4 linked regions of the Oryzias latipes genome follow. The protein of the gene in region 3 interacts with the protein of the main gene of each other region in a pairwise test. Links are inferred from orthologs where the notes say so. Each region holds a gene or a part of one and is shown on either strand. Other genes may lie near its edges. The genes, in order: estrogen-related receptor gamma type 1, esr1, pnrc2 and dcp1a.

Region 1 (3,568 bases), on a different chromosome or scaffold from region 3:
TACAACATGAGAGGTATAAAAATAACAACTAAAATGAAATATGTCAACATGGTAGCTCGGACATAGATGTGCAAACTAACACACACAATGGCATCAAACAGATCTATACAGTGTAATGCATGTATCAGTATGCAGGACCAGGCTGGTTAGTGGGCTGGATTCTGAGGGGATCAATAAATAACTCAGCTTTCATTTGTTTTTAAATTTCCTGGTTGTTGTTTTTTTTTCACACTGTGCTTGATGAAGTGAGATGCTAAGAGCGAAAGAAAAAAAAAAGTATATTGTAATAAACAGATTAAATAAAATCTATTGATTTTCTTTTTTCACTCTAGGGTGGTTTTCTGCGCAGGGAGGGAAGGTTAAGCCGCGGTAAATAAAATCCACCTGTTGTTTATTTGTTGTGGGTTTAAACTGGTAGAAATGTCTTTGGTCTGTTTTGAAATTCACTGAACTGTCATGAGTTAAACAGCAGAACACTAATGAGCACAAGCATGTCAGACTGTTAAAGCACACATGCTAACAGAGCAGCGTGCATAAACTCACATGCACAAAAACAAGCACACACCTCCCGTTTCCCATGGTTAGTTTAACTTTCTTTACATGTGGGGCACGTTTTCTAACATTTCTTAAGGCTTGGCTTCATTAATGCAGACGATTAGCATCCTGTGAATTAATTAGTGTCAGTGCCCTTCAAAATGCTAATGCTAGCATTCTGTTGTCTTGAAAAGCCAGCTGAGTGGGTTACATGGTTTGCGCTGCATTTAGGCTTTAGTTGTTTTGATTTAATCACTTAGAAGGTAAAGCAGTTTAAATGCAGAGTAGTTCAGCTACATGTCAATTTCACTAATTTACATGAAGTTTTTTTAAGTGTATTTGTGTAGTAAGATGAATGAACTGTGTATTTTCTGTATCCTTTTCAATTCTTATTTTTATTTCTTTATATAAAATATGAAAGTACAGTTTCAATAAAATTAATTTCCTTTTCTCAGAACATAAATGATAGTGAAGTTCGAAATAAAAGCCAAATTAAGTGATTGTTTTGTTTCAAATTTGTTCAAAATTACAGTCCCAGTCCTCCACATGTGATGACTGACATTATGCTGGTGGTGGTGGCAGCAGAATGAAAAGCTTCTCCCTTCCCATTAAAATCTCGTATTGCATTCTTCCATTTAAACACATTGTATTGACAGCTCCCCCCTTGTAATTAAAGAGTACTGAAGAGCTGGCTGGCTTCCAAGACAAAGTTCAAAAGACGGGTCATGAGAGGAAGAGTAGGTGTGTGTGTGAGGGACTGCGTGTCAGTCAGCTGTCAATGCAGCTGGACACATCACAGAGCGGCTTGTATCGACAGGTTTTGGGATCTAATGATTTCTCCTTATTTAACAGGCATCTAAAGGGACGGCTATGTTAATTTTAAAAGGGACTGCCGCTTTGTTTGGGGGTGGGATTCAGATTGAATGTGTTCCTGCATGTTTGTACCGCATCCTTGCATTCAAAGGGAAATAAAAAGAAAGAGAACTGTTTGAGCTGTTAAAATATTTCCATCAATATTTACTGTGCTGTAGAAGCTTCTGAGAGCGTGTGTGGATGCAGACTACTGAAATCAGTCTTCTGATGGCTCAGCTTAAATGAGCCCCACGGGATTGGAGATTCCTAGGATTAACTCTCCTCTATCAGTCAAACACAAGCACGCACGGACAAAAACAGCTGAGAGTGAAGAGTTTCAAACCTGAATTAGCCAAAGCAATGGCCTTTAAAGTGACAAATTCCTCTTTCTCTAGCTTCATGGATTTGTATTTCTTGACCAGCTGAAGGATGGCGTTGTTTAGGTCCAGCAGTCCGGCTAGTTTAGACTGATCCTCATCCATTATGTAATCCTCAGCATACACCAGCTAAAGGAATATTGGAGACAAGTTGAGTTTGCAGATCAAACTAGGACTTGCATAAAGTTCAAAAGAAACCTACTTTGTCTTCAAATGACAGCGAGCGATACACAACACGCAGGATCAAGATCTCCATCCATGCACTCTGCAGTAGACTCATCTGGTCTGCCAAAGACAGTGTGGAGAAACCTGAGAAAGAGAGAAAGAGAGCAAAGGACAGGCATTATTAATTTATGCATTCAACAAGAAGCAAACTGGTAAATAGGGGGCATTTCTTTACTCTGGGTAAAAAACAAGACAAAGAAAACAGTAAAGCTTGTTCCAAAGCAAGTAAGGGGGTCAAGGTCGACTTCTCTCTTTCCCCTCCCACCTCTCATCCATCCACCTGACCAGAGTCCTTCTCCTCTGTCTGCTTCTTTCCGCTCTCCCATGTGCCCTGGGCTATTCTCTGAGGGAAGCAGGCCTTATCTCCTTCTGCCAAACCTCCATGAATCAATGCTGGCCATTGCTGCTGCGCTCTTAGAAAACACACACTCATTTCTCCTATGGCCTTAAACCTACTGGTTTCTTTGGTGTCAATCCATGTCCTTCCATTTGCTTATCAGACTTTTCCTTCAGTCGCAATCTATAACTCTATCTATAATTCTTGTCTTATTTTTTAAATCTAAAAAAATTACTTTTTTTTCACTTGGATCACTTTATTGCGACTCTCACATATATTGTCCATCTTTACCTTCCTGTTTCTTTAATGGAACACCTGCCCACTCACACCTCTCCTCACAGCTGTCCTCTGCTCGCACACCTGTCCATTCACACCTGCCTGCCTGCCCATATGTGTGTCTGAGTGCAATCCTTAACAGCCACACGGGCCATGTGTTTAAAAATGCAAAGACAGTGGGCCGTGCAAGCACACCTGTCAGACCTTGCAGAGGTTCTTCAGTATGTGTTTGTGTGAGGAACATTCTGCCAGAAGAGGCAGATAGATGAGAGAGAGAAGATATTTCTCCCACAACATCTGCGGCAAAGTGTCTCCTCTTAAGATGTGTGGCAAGTCCTACATGTGCATTAAGACCTCTTATCTCAAAATGTGTTGACAGGTAATGGCAGACGTCTAATTATGTCCAAGTTGCAAGCTATTGTTGTTTGCAATGCGCACTAATTTATTTTATCTTATACCGTTAACAATCTCCAATACACATTCACGGTACATACTCATTAGGTAAGATTTCTTGCTTAAGCATGTACACAGATATTACCACATTTATAAATAAATATAAATTCTTAGGAATTTACTGGAATGTATCTAAATTGGTTCGATGACACACAAAAATACACACATGGTAAAGTGAAGATGCCAGAGTTGTTGCCAACTGGCAGTCTTTTTTTTGGACAATGAAATAATCAAAAATGATTAGACGTGAATTTCTTAAGGAGCTCTTTATTACACATAAACACACACTTTGGTCACAGGAGCGATGGGGTTTTGAGCTCTATAGGATTGCACCACTCATAGTTGACAGGAAAATGTATACTGACATAGCTATAATTATCACGTGGGTACTTATTGATACTGTTCAGCCTGGAGGGTAAGTGAGGACAAAACATTGGTAAGGAGTAATGCTGTATAGTGATGTCCCTTGTTATGTATTCTAAATGTATATAGTCTTTTTAATTTTAAGGGCTCA
Region 2 (4,215 bases), on a different chromosome or scaffold from region 3:
GCACACTTAGATGCCCTTATCTGAGAGGCACCAAAACAAACAGGATGTGTAATAATTAGTTGTACTTCTGAGATGTAAATATCTTCAGGGACGTGCTAAAGTTCAAGTTTATCTGCACCCTTGCGGAGTGTGCGTTGCAGAAAAACAAATATTGAGGGCCGCTTTCATGTAGAAAATGGTAAATGATGGGAACAAAAAAGCTGAGGCGGGAAAATCTCTTGTCAGGTGAAGTTAGTGCTCACCGCCTTTCATCATTCCCACTTCGTAACACTTCCTAAGACGACAAGCCTGGCAGCTCTTCCTCCGATTTCTGTCAATAGTGCACTGATTGGTCGCTGGGCACATATAGTCATTGTGACCTGAAATGGAGAAAAATATATTACTTTCAGCCTTCAAGTCCAATGTTCAGTTTAGATTTAGGTTATTTAGTAGCCAGGAACACTGATAAAAGAATCTGGGGAGGAGAAGATGAAAATGTGGCATCTTAGCTTTTCTATTGCCATGGAAACATTTTGTAACCTTCTGACTGATCCTTCATTACACAATTATATCGTGAACATGACTGAACCATCAAGCAGATGGAGCTTTTCTCTTCAACTGTTGTGATCCAAAAACTAACCACAAAGGCTTAAATGTGCGCTCATCAATTCTTTTGATTTAAGACTAGTCATTTCTACGATATCACAATTTATGATGATTATCAAAGTATAATTGAGAATTTTTCAGATCAGACTGATTTGACATTTTTGACAGTTTTCTAAATCCAGAAGACTTTTTAGTGTGGCTTCCTACCCTGGATGCTCCTCTTGAAGAAGGCCTTGCAGCCCTCACAAGACCACACCCCATAGTGGTACCCAGAGGCGTAGTCGCTGCACACGGCGCAGAAACGCGTGTCTTTGGCCATCTCAAACCCCCCAGCCCCGGCTCCGGCGCCTAACTCCCCCAGGCTGCACGTGTCCTCCCGGGAGCCGCACTGGTCCTCCCTGGAGGCTCCCTGGTGGCTGGATCTGCAACAGGTTGTGAATCTTAATCTGACCATTTCTGGTTCTGTGGTGCTAATAAAGGACAGAATTTGCCAAAAGATGATCAAGAACATTCTGACTAAAAATATGAAAGTGCAAAAACAGACTTGTGTTTTCCACCGGAACCAGAAAAACAAAATTCATGTGAGCCTCTGTTGTTCTTACGTATTGTTCCTCTCTCAAGGTCTCTGACAAAGTCCTTAATCTCTGGATTTAGAAAGCAGGACCAAGCTTGATCCTTTACGAAAAGATAAAGTTGTGTGTTTTGTATAAAGTGGAAGATTAAAAGGTTGTGTCATTATGTAATAATGTTTTGTTTATAAAAGCACTTGGAAGACTCAACTTTAAATGTCATTGCCATAAATTGTAAAATATCTAGTTTTCCGCCAAGGCTGCTCCTCATGTGTGACAGTGGGTGAAAAACACCCAAACTCCTTGATTTTTGTAATTAAACAAAGCAAAATAATAATCATTTTTTGGAATTCAGTACTTCCTTTTAACTCAGTCTGCCTAAACAAACAGTTGGATGAATCAGCAGAGGCTGAAACACAGACCTCTCCCCCTCATTTGTCCACTTTCATGACTCATTCGGAGCTAAACTGCCCTCACTTACCTGTAAACGGGCGTGGAAGTGGTTTCCAGATAGTGGTGGCTGGGTGGATGCATAAAGGGACTGAGTCTGGGGCTGGAGGGCACAAACACCAGAGGGCTCGTCGGCCCACTGCCCAGGGACTGCAGACTGCCTTCTGAGGGGGGTCCGTTTGTTTCCAGGGGAGCAGAGTAGTAGCCGGTGCTGGACTGGCTGTAAAGGGGAGTCGTGGCAGGGTTGGGGGCGGCATAGTCGTACGTCCCTTCCAAAAAGTCCACAGCAGCCACCCCTCCAGAACCCCGGCTCTCTTCAGGGTACATGTCACCGAGGGGGTCACGGGGCGAGAGGCGAGGTGGGGAGAGGGTCTCCAGCTCTGAGGAGGCTGGGCTGATCCTGGATCTGAGTGCTGGTCCGAACAGCTGCCTGATCTGCACCGAGCTCTGTCTGAGCAACATCACAGCACAACAGCGGCGATAAGAAGCATGATTTAGACTTGTTCTCCCATTTGCTGGGAGGGGGAGTGGAGTTCTCCTCTCCCTCTCTCTTTTTAGTCTTCCCTTTCTCTCTGTGTGGGGCTCATCTTTCTATTAATGCCTGTCAGACTACTTGGAGGGACCAGAAGATCCTTTTTCCTCGTCTCCCTAAAGCTTCAGCTCACCAAAAATAACGAAAAGGACTCCTCCCAATCTGCTGGTTTTGTCTCTCAGTATTTCCTCCAATATGTTTACACTCAAGTGTGGGAGTCACAAGTGGGAGAGAGAGGAAAAGAAAGGAATGTCAGGGAATAGTTATTCCTAAACTTCCCTGTCTCCTTCCACCTCGTTTGTCTAAAGCAAAGCTTTCCCCGGCTGTCGTGTGGTTTCCAGAAACTACAAACCAACAGAGCGACTCTGAATAATCAGCTTTTATTAGCAGAGGATGCGGCGTTAGTGGTGAGATGGCCAAAACACAACCAAGACTGCACTCAACCTAATTACTGGGTAAATAAAAGCAGGGATGCTTTGAAACAAAAAGGCTTAAAAAAGAAAAAAAAGAAAAGAAGAACTGCAAAATCAAGCATGAGACACCACTCACCTCTTACTCATGAATCATCCTCAGATGTGCTGCGCAACACGGGCTGCTTCCTCTCTGCCTGCCTGACAGGCATCTAGCAGCGAGACGGGCAGCTTCGGTGGAACCAGTGGAAAGGTTTGAAAAAGGATAAACAAATTAAAGATGCAGCCAAATCAATAACCATGGTGTGTTTAAGTGCCAGGTCACCATAACACAGCAAACAAAGCAGGGGGTCAAATCTCAATCTGACAGCCAACAATTACACAATCAATTCCAAATAAGGAAATTAATGGGGATTTTAAATGCAGAAAAAGAGGAAAAAAAGATAATAAACACAAAAAAAAAGGTTTGGTCAAAGGGGAAGTGGCAAAACATTTCCACTAAAGCCAAATTGCTGATGCCATAGATTTCTGGAAAAAAATAGTATTTACACTTTAAAGTTTTTTTTGTGTGTACTTGAATTACTAGGAAAGAAAAATGGACTTGAAATTCTTCCAGGAAAATTAGATTTGAATAATATTAACATAAAAATGGGGGGGGGGGCTAAAATAAAGCTGATTTTATCAAGATATGATCTTCTTATATGTTAGAATAAACATGAGCATGCTCGACTGCTGAAGGGGGGAACAAAAGCCCTCCTCCTCGTTCCTGTCCGGACTCTTTCTTGAACAAACAGCCCAATTTTCAAGACATGTTGGGGTCAAGTGGGAAACAAGTAGTCTTGATGATGATATGGATCATTTTGCATTTTTCCTAGAATAAAATTGATGACAGCAACACCAGGAAACAGCAAAAAATGACTGGTTGGGAAGCAAACGTATCCAGCAAATCACCAAAAATGGCTTTAGCACGCCTCTTAGAATAATTGACCTCATTTTCGTGACGGACCACCTTCACAAAGTACGACAATTATACCCCTCGTTCATTCAGAATTGTAATGCACATGTTGCAGCATTTCCAACTGTTTCGTTTACAGGTTTTTAAAGTCCGACCTGACCTGAATGCAACAGGTCAACATGCGAGAGCAGAAAAATAAAGACAAGATGCCCCACTCTTAGTTTCATCTATTTATTACCTTTTTCATCTGTTCAGGTTTATTACAAGTGTGTGTTTTATTTGAGCGCAGACAGGCGTCAGGATGGACTCCAGATTTTGGCCAGGGAGATTTAAAGCTTTAATCCAAACCATTCAGATTAAAAATCAACACCCAAACCTTCCTCTGATCTTTACTTTGAAATCAAACTTTCAGGCAAATCTGCCTTCATAATAAAAAAAATCCAGCAGCAAGATAAAATCGGAATATGGGTTTAAAAAACTTCAGAAACTTTTCTTTTATTGATCAAATCGGAGCTCCTGTTTGAGCATTTGGCATTACTGAAGTCTTTAGATTCACTTTACTGCAAGTGATCAGACTTGTGTAAATATTTGGAATGTTTTTCGCCATTCTAGATAATGCTGCCATGTTTTCAGTTCTTCTTTGCCAACTTTTAATCTCTAGTTTCCGTGGAGCGGCCCGCTTCCAAAATTTAAAATCTAATCAAGGAAAACGAA
Region 3 (4,044 bases):
TTTATGTTGGCTGTAAAAACCTTCCATTCTGCAAAGGAAAAAAGATCCTAAAGTGAGGTCCGAAGCACAAAAAAACAAGAATCAAAGTCCTTTTGCATCACAAAGTCAACAAAATCGTCTCTGCTGCTTGTGGGTAAGAGTCTGATTGCAGTGCAAGGGGTTAGACAAAAGACAGGCAACAACACTTCCATGAACAGTCAGTCTCTGAGGCAGAATTTGTAAACACAAAGACCGTCTAACGTTGGACCCCTGAAGCCACTTCTCCAAAATAAACCTCCTTAGCTCACCTCGTCCCAAGCTAAGGCATGCAGCCAAACAGGACAAGTCAATGACATGGTCCTCTTCCGCAGGTTTAGAAGCATGCCTTGCGCTGACAAGACCTGAAGCTTAAAGGCAGTAACAGTACTGATTGGAACAGAAAGTAGCCAAGTGACTGTATCTCATTCACCAACGGGGCTGGCAAAAAACAAGAAGTTAGGAGGAAAAAAAGCCACAAGGTTGTTGATAAAGAACGAAATACAGCAACACATTGCTTTGGTTACAGAGATTAAAACGGTTTTCAACCAAAACAAAAGTAAAATAATGCTTTGATAAGAGTGTTGCAGACCTTAGGCACGCCAAACTCCCATAGTGCATGTGCGCACAGCGCAGTAAAGAAAGGATACAGGAGTTTGGGGTCTACGGCCCATGTGCCATTGTCTCTTACCCTTTGAGGCCACCTCTTCCTTCCTCACTTATCTCAAAATAGCTTTTTTTTCTCCTGCAGAACTATTGAGTGTCTTTATTCCAAACAAGGAATGTAACCATCAAGAAAATTACGGGGCCCTTTAAAAAAAATGCTACAAATGTTCATGTTATTTAGCACCTGAAGCGTTTGAGTTCACTCCAAATGTTCGTCGTTAAAACCTGTACGAATGAAAGGCGTCTGTCCACAGAAATGGACTATAAAAGTAATGGACTGTTACTTAACGGATGTTACAAGCCCTGTTTTCTTATGTGGAAAAAGGTTCACTCTGTTGGCTTTTACAGCAAACACTAACAACAAAACTAAAAGTACATTTAATCCAGTTAACAGATTACAGAAATGGACTCCATTAAGGACTGCACCGACAAGTAAGGCAGCAGAGCTGTAATTAAAAATTCCATTAAAAATTTAAACACGAGTAAGCCTCTTTTGCAAATATTTCAGCCAAAAATCCAAATGTATTACAGCTCTGAAGCATTCCAAGCAGATGAGCACCTCAATAGGGTCGCAGTCTGTATATTGGCTCTTTAAGTGAAGTGTGGACGTAGCTCAGGCCTGCACTTTCAGTAGACTCTTGAGCTGGAAAGCCATCATCTCCCTGTGATCAAAGGAGCTTGACGGAAAAGAAACCCAGTGGCTTGGGGGCTTGGGCAGCACACTGGGTGATGGTGGCTCACTGAACTTGGGCCCTGCATAGCTGGGGCTGCCCTGGGCGGCCAGGAGTGTGTTGAGGTGAGACACTGCACCCTCCCAGTTCTGATCGTAGTTGGTGCCAAAACGCATGGAGGCATTTTTGTCTGCAGACACGGCCTGCCGCGCCTCCGGAGACCTGTGGTAGGCTGCGCCTTTGTCGCTCCTACGGTGGCCATGATTGTGAAGGCCCCCTAATCCTCCTGCTGAGACAGCGACTCCATTCTGGTCACGGCTTCTCTGTTTGGCCTTGACAAGCTGGTTCTTCTTTTGCCTTTCAGGGTGGGAAATTGGAATGTTGTACCTCTCGCCACCTCCCATGTTTCTGTACTATGTGTCACCTACAGGAGTAAACATATTTAAGTCTTAACTCAGGAAAAAATATTCGTGCAATGACAAGCGCCTACTGCGCATGCTCAGTTCGAACAAAAACAAGCTGAGGCGCTACGTGCAGAAACAACAGCCAGACAGGGCAGCGACGCCCCTCCCCCACTCGGCAGAAAAACAGACCCAGCTCACCTCTTTGCTGGTAGTATGTTGACGAAGCAGAGATCCTTCTTTAATCTCTCTCCACCAGTCGGTCCCCAGGTCCTCGAAGTAGTTTTCTGCCTACTTCTCGCTGCACATTTATGTCCAGCAAGGTCTGAGGTTTTCATGTGCCAATGATGAGCGATGTTTTCCCGTGAAGCCGAGCTGAACATCAATTCACCCCGGCACACGATTGTTCCGCGAAGTCGAGCTCCTAAAAGCGAAAACAAAAGCGGATTAGTGAGTAACGATACAATGTGCTAATGAAAGCGACTATGAGAATACTTTAAAATTATTTTCTGTCTTACTCGATTTGAAAAAAATGACGGGGGATGGGCGTGTAAGAAACTGCGTCATTACACAACACACAAACTACCAAAACTAGCTTATAATTAGCTTTGAACTCATTTATAAACCATAAAATCCATTTTCCATTACACACATATTACATAATAGTCACAACGGTATATGTATTTTAACATAAGCTTAAATGGTTTTATTCGATAACATAACAAAAAAATGTAAACGTTATTAGATAACATACTTGTTTCATCGAGACGACTAGAAAAGTACTTTTACGATACTGTGTCACTCTTTGGCATCGAACCAAAACAAAGAAGCTACTCAATATGGCGACGAGCCGAGGTACTAGAATCTGAGTTTTATCCTTACCGACTTCTTTAAGGCTTGGTTGTTGAAAAGCCTTTTGTCAAAAAATATACAAGTTTAGCCTCTGGAATCCTTCGGCGGACAATGTAGGAAGCAAAGCAAGCTATTTTTCCTACAAACCCATCACCGTCGAGGCTAAGGTGGTTTTATCATGAGGCGTATAACCGCCACTTCTCCTCCCGACACTCGATTGCAACAAAATGGACTCTGCCAAGGAGATAAGTAGTCTGTTCTCGCAGAAATCGAACCAATCACCTCTCGAGTACGAGTTAGGTGACCAATCAGCGTGTAGGCAAACCTACGCAGTCATGCCTGTTGCCAGACGGGTGACGTCAACCACACTTCCTCCCATTTCCTTTGGTGGAGATGGTTCGGGTATTTCCTGAGAGAAGTGAGGAATTAAACTAAACAAACGCTTCCGATAAATTAATTTGTTTTCACTCTGTATTTTTAAGAAAGAGTCCTGAAAAAATGCACAGCATGACAATCAGCATAACATTATATCGAGTCGACATGTATGTTATGTAATGCTGTGTGTTGTGGCGTAATACTTTCCATTTATTTGTTTTTTCTCAGGGAGATTCTAATGTCTACAGGTCACAACATGCCCATTTCTGAAAAACGTTTCGCTTTTACGCTGCTTTATTAACTGAAACTAGGCGTTTCAGCTTTTGTTTCACCATCACGTAGCCCATCCCCCATCTGTGTTGCGTGGTCACAAAACAAGCTGCTGTTCTTTTACTGAAAATCCTCACTTTAGCATGTTTGTCAACAAAGTGCACGTGGTAACACTGCCACAGTTTTGACCAAAACAGTAACCTGTACGTTTTCTTTTTTTTTTACAAACACAGGGGGAAATACCACACAAAGAGGCAGTTAAAAGCCAAACAAAGAAGTTCGTGTCTGTGTTTTTACTCTGAGGAAGCTAAGGACAGGTCACATTGATTTCGATTTTTTGTTTGTCTTGCTTTTGTTTAAAGTAGGAAAACATTTTCTAGAATTACTGAACTTTCCTCTATCTCGTAATCTTTGGAAAGTTTTACGTATTGTACAATTAACAAAGACAAAAGTTTATGTAACCCTTGTGCTATCCTAGGCAATTTAACATTGGGAGTTGGGTCATCTAGACCCACTAGACAGTGCTCTGAACCTTTTTTCTTCAACAATTTGTGATCTTCACTGGTGTCCATGGATTACATGAAATCTTTCCACCTTTATCCACCTTTGTCATGGTAGGAATTACACGTCAATGTAAGGGTGGGGTTATTTAAGATAGCACAAGGGTTAAAAAGAAGGCTACTTTTTAAATATGTATATAATAAATAGATTTTGGTCCTTTTATTATTTATTTTTTCTAACACAGCTCACTCCACTTTAAACACGTACAGTTTCATCTTTTCTTTTTCTTCTTT
Region 4 (2,457 bases), on a different chromosome or scaffold from region 3:
ACATTTCAGTAGTAGTTTGATCTGTGCGATCAAAGTCCTTTCATAAACTTCAGTTTTTAGTTTTCCACATCTGGTTCTTGGAAGAATTCTGTGAACTTCTTTTATTCTATCAGTTTTTTTACCCATTTTATTCAAACAGATGTTTAAACTTTAGGATTATTAAGTAAGCTTTAATATTTGATCTTGTTGTTGTTGAGAACTAATGATTAAATTAATCATTCACAGCCTTTTGGGGTTATTTTTTTGCATTACTGCTTTACCTAACAGAATGTCTGTTTCTATATTTCTTCTAGTGGGCATCTACAGTATTTGGTTCTATGACAAGAGGGACTGTCGGCGCATAGCTCAGCTGATGCTCAAGTAAGTGAGCTGAAATGTACCCAATAAGTTAGTTTATTAATGAGGTAAAACTGTAGGTGAATTCAAAATCCTATTTGCATTAGTATTTCAGACGTGTAAATGTACCAAGGAACCAAATGAAAAGTTTGAAATGATACAAACAGTGCTGTACGGGACGTTTATAGTTGAGTCTCTTTCAGGATCGTGAAACAGGAAGCAGACCATGCTCAGAGAAAGACCCCAGAGAGGACGGAGGCCGCAAGAACCAATGGGATCACCGAAACGAAACCTATTGACATCCTGGAGCTGCTTAGCAAGGCCAAGGAGGAATACCAAAGAGTAATTACAAATAAAGTCTTACTCTGTTTCACCTTTAACTTAACTTTCATTTTTAAAATGTCGACTACTTTGTTTTAAGTGGTCTTCTTGGGGTGTTATTTTTAGTTCTAGTGGACTTTAACGGGTAAGATGAGGCCAATTTTAACTGCATTTTGCTTGATTTTCAAATGTGACGAAGGCCCAGGCAGGGGAATCGGAGATGTCTGTTGACACAAGTGTTAAAGTGGAACATCCACACAGAGCAGCGTCACCCGAAAAGGTATGTGCATCGCACAGGCTTAGTGAGAACCGTAAGTAAGTGAGATTTTGGGACCACAAGCCATTTGACATTTGGGTGATCAGTAAACTGAAAGCACATCTATCTTCATTAGTTCTGTGTCGGTCAGTTGATTGCTTGGTTAACAGAGTTGCTCTCCTGCTCTCATCAGAGTTCTCATACAGTGGTGAAGCAGATCACAGTTGAAGAACTCTTTGGATCGTCTCTGCCTAAGGAAACCTCTCTCTTCAACAAAGCTGCGCAGGAATCCACTTCTTCCAGTGACCTCCCTGCTTTTGTGCAGAAACCAGCGTATCCTGTTTCAGTTCATCAAAGTCCGCTCCTCACAGGCCACGATCCCGGGTCACGCCGGCAACAACAAGCCCCTAATCTAATCCCTTCTCCTTATGCAATGAACCCCGGTCCGGTTTTACAGCATGTGGTCCCACGGCCCGATTCTCAATCCCACTGTTCGGTCCCTCCTCTGATGATGCCTTCAGCTGGTTCGGAGCACCTCGCTGCATCGTCTGGTCTGACCGACCCTGCAACGCCTTCCACAGCCTTTTTGAGAAAGGAAATACTGGATTCAATCAAACCTGTGATCCCTTCTATGAATTCAGACGTCCACAAGCCCATGCTTGCACCCAACTTCATCCCAAACACTTTGGTTCCACCCCACAGCTTCCAGGAACACAACATGGACTTTTTCTCTAAGCCTCCAAACCTCATTAAGCCCATGTCTGTAAGTCCCGATTTGTTTGCTAAACTCATCAATGAGTCTTCTCTACCTTTCTCCCCTCAACATACAAGCAGAGAGCTGTCTTTGTGTTTGCAGACTCTCCCCATGAGTCCAGGTCCAGCCGTTCCAGGGTCAGAGATCTCAGTGCTTCTCTCTCCGAGTGTTTTCCAGCAGAATGTCAATAAAAACCCCTCAACAGCAGCGCCAGCGGTCCCTCCTGCGGCCTCTGAGCCGTCTTCAGCATCTGGAGGAGCTTTAGATTCTCTCCCAACCGCCTGCAGTAGAACTCAGCTCCAGGAGACTTTGATTCATCTCATCAAGGTAACCCAGTGGTATTTGACAGAAAGTGTGATGTTGGGAGGGTCAGAACCTTCTCCTGTATCACACGGTGATAAAAAAAATATTGGAGAATGTTACAGGAAAGCTTTAGTTCCTGTTAGATTAAAAAAAAAGAATAATAACTTTTTGATTATTATTAATTTTTTTTCAAAAATGTCTGGACTTTCACCGTACTTACTTCCAGCTCCAATGAAATGAAGTGGCCATTTTTTCACGATGTGGACGCTGCCATGTTGAAGCCAGACAATGTCAGTAAGAAGCGATTGGTCTTAGTCAGCGTTTCTATGCCAACCACTCTCACCAATCAAGAGTGAGCTTGTTGGAAGTCCACACCCCTACCACTTGAAAGCAGGATGGGCTTCATGAAAACCGTCAAATGTTTGGAACGTTAGACGCGGGGGCCAGTAAGCACCACACTTTATTGAGGCATTTGATTGGCCTTATA

Evidence for each region.
Region 1: the proteins of pnrc2 (region 3) and estrogen-related receptor gamma type 1 interact in binary tests that used the Homo sapiens proteins (3 or more experiments, as listed by UniProt). The link is inferred for Oryzias latipes from reciprocal best matches to the Homo sapiens genes PNRC2 and ESRRG.
Region 2: the proteins of pnrc2 (region 3) and esr1 interact in a two-hybrid assay, tested with the Homo sapiens proteins (2 studies listed by BioGRID and IntAct). The link is inferred for Oryzias latipes from reciprocal best matches to the Homo sapiens genes PNRC2 and ESR1.
Region 4: the proteins of pnrc2 (region 3) and dcp1a interact in binary tests that used the Homo sapiens proteins (3 or more experiments, as listed by UniProt). The link is inferred for Oryzias latipes from reciprocal best matches to the Homo sapiens genes PNRC2 and DCP1A.

The regions. Positions count from the first base shown.
Region 1 is NC_019861.2:25,250,124-25,253,691, forward strand, and holds part of estrogen-related receptor gamma type 1, read right to left. Parts: intron 2,073-3,568; coding exon 1,966-2,072; intron 1,893-1,965; coding exon 1,730-1,892; intron 1-1,729. UniProt on the Homo sapiens protein: Orphan receptor that acts as a transcription activator in the absence of bound ligand. Binds specifically to an estrogen response element and activates reporter genes controlled by estrogen response elements.
Region 2 is NC_019882.2:8,941,041-8,945,255, reverse strand, and holds the start of esr1 (estrogen receptor), read right to left. Parts: upstream 2,801-4,215; 5' UTR 2,697-2,800; coding exon 2,686-2,696; intron 2,056-2,685; coding exon 1,636-2,055; intron 1,008-1,635; coding exon 793-1,007; intron 360-792; coding exon 243-359; intron 1-242.
Region 3 is NC_019874.2:24,069,053-24,073,096, reverse strand, and holds the start of pnrc2 (proline-rich nuclear receptor coactivator 2), read right to left. Parts: upstream 2,839-4,044; 5' UTR 2,636-2,838; intron 2,178-2,635; 5' UTR 1,955-2,177; intron 1,777-1,954; 5' UTR 1,757-1,776; coding exon 1,295-1,756; 3' UTR 1-1,294. UniProt on the Homo sapiens protein: Involved in nonsense-mediated mRNA decay (NMD) by acting as a bridge between the mRNA decapping complex and the NMD machinery. May act by targeting the NMD machinery to the P-body and recruiting the decapping machinery to aberrant mRNAs.
Region 4 is NC_019865.2:7,306,188-7,308,644, forward strand, and holds part of dcp1a (mRNA-decapping enzyme 1A), read left to right. Parts: intron 1-293; coding exon 294-360; intron 361-539; coding exon 540-678; intron 679-856; coding exon 857-937; intron 938-1,106; coding exon 1,107-1,676; intron 1,677-1,769; coding exon 1,770-1,994; intron 1,995-2,457. UniProt on the Homo sapiens protein: Necessary for the degradation of mRNAs, both in normal mRNA turnover and in nonsense-mediated mRNA decay. Removes the 7-methyl guanine cap structure from mRNA molecules, yielding a 5'-phosphorylated mRNA fragment and 7m-GDP.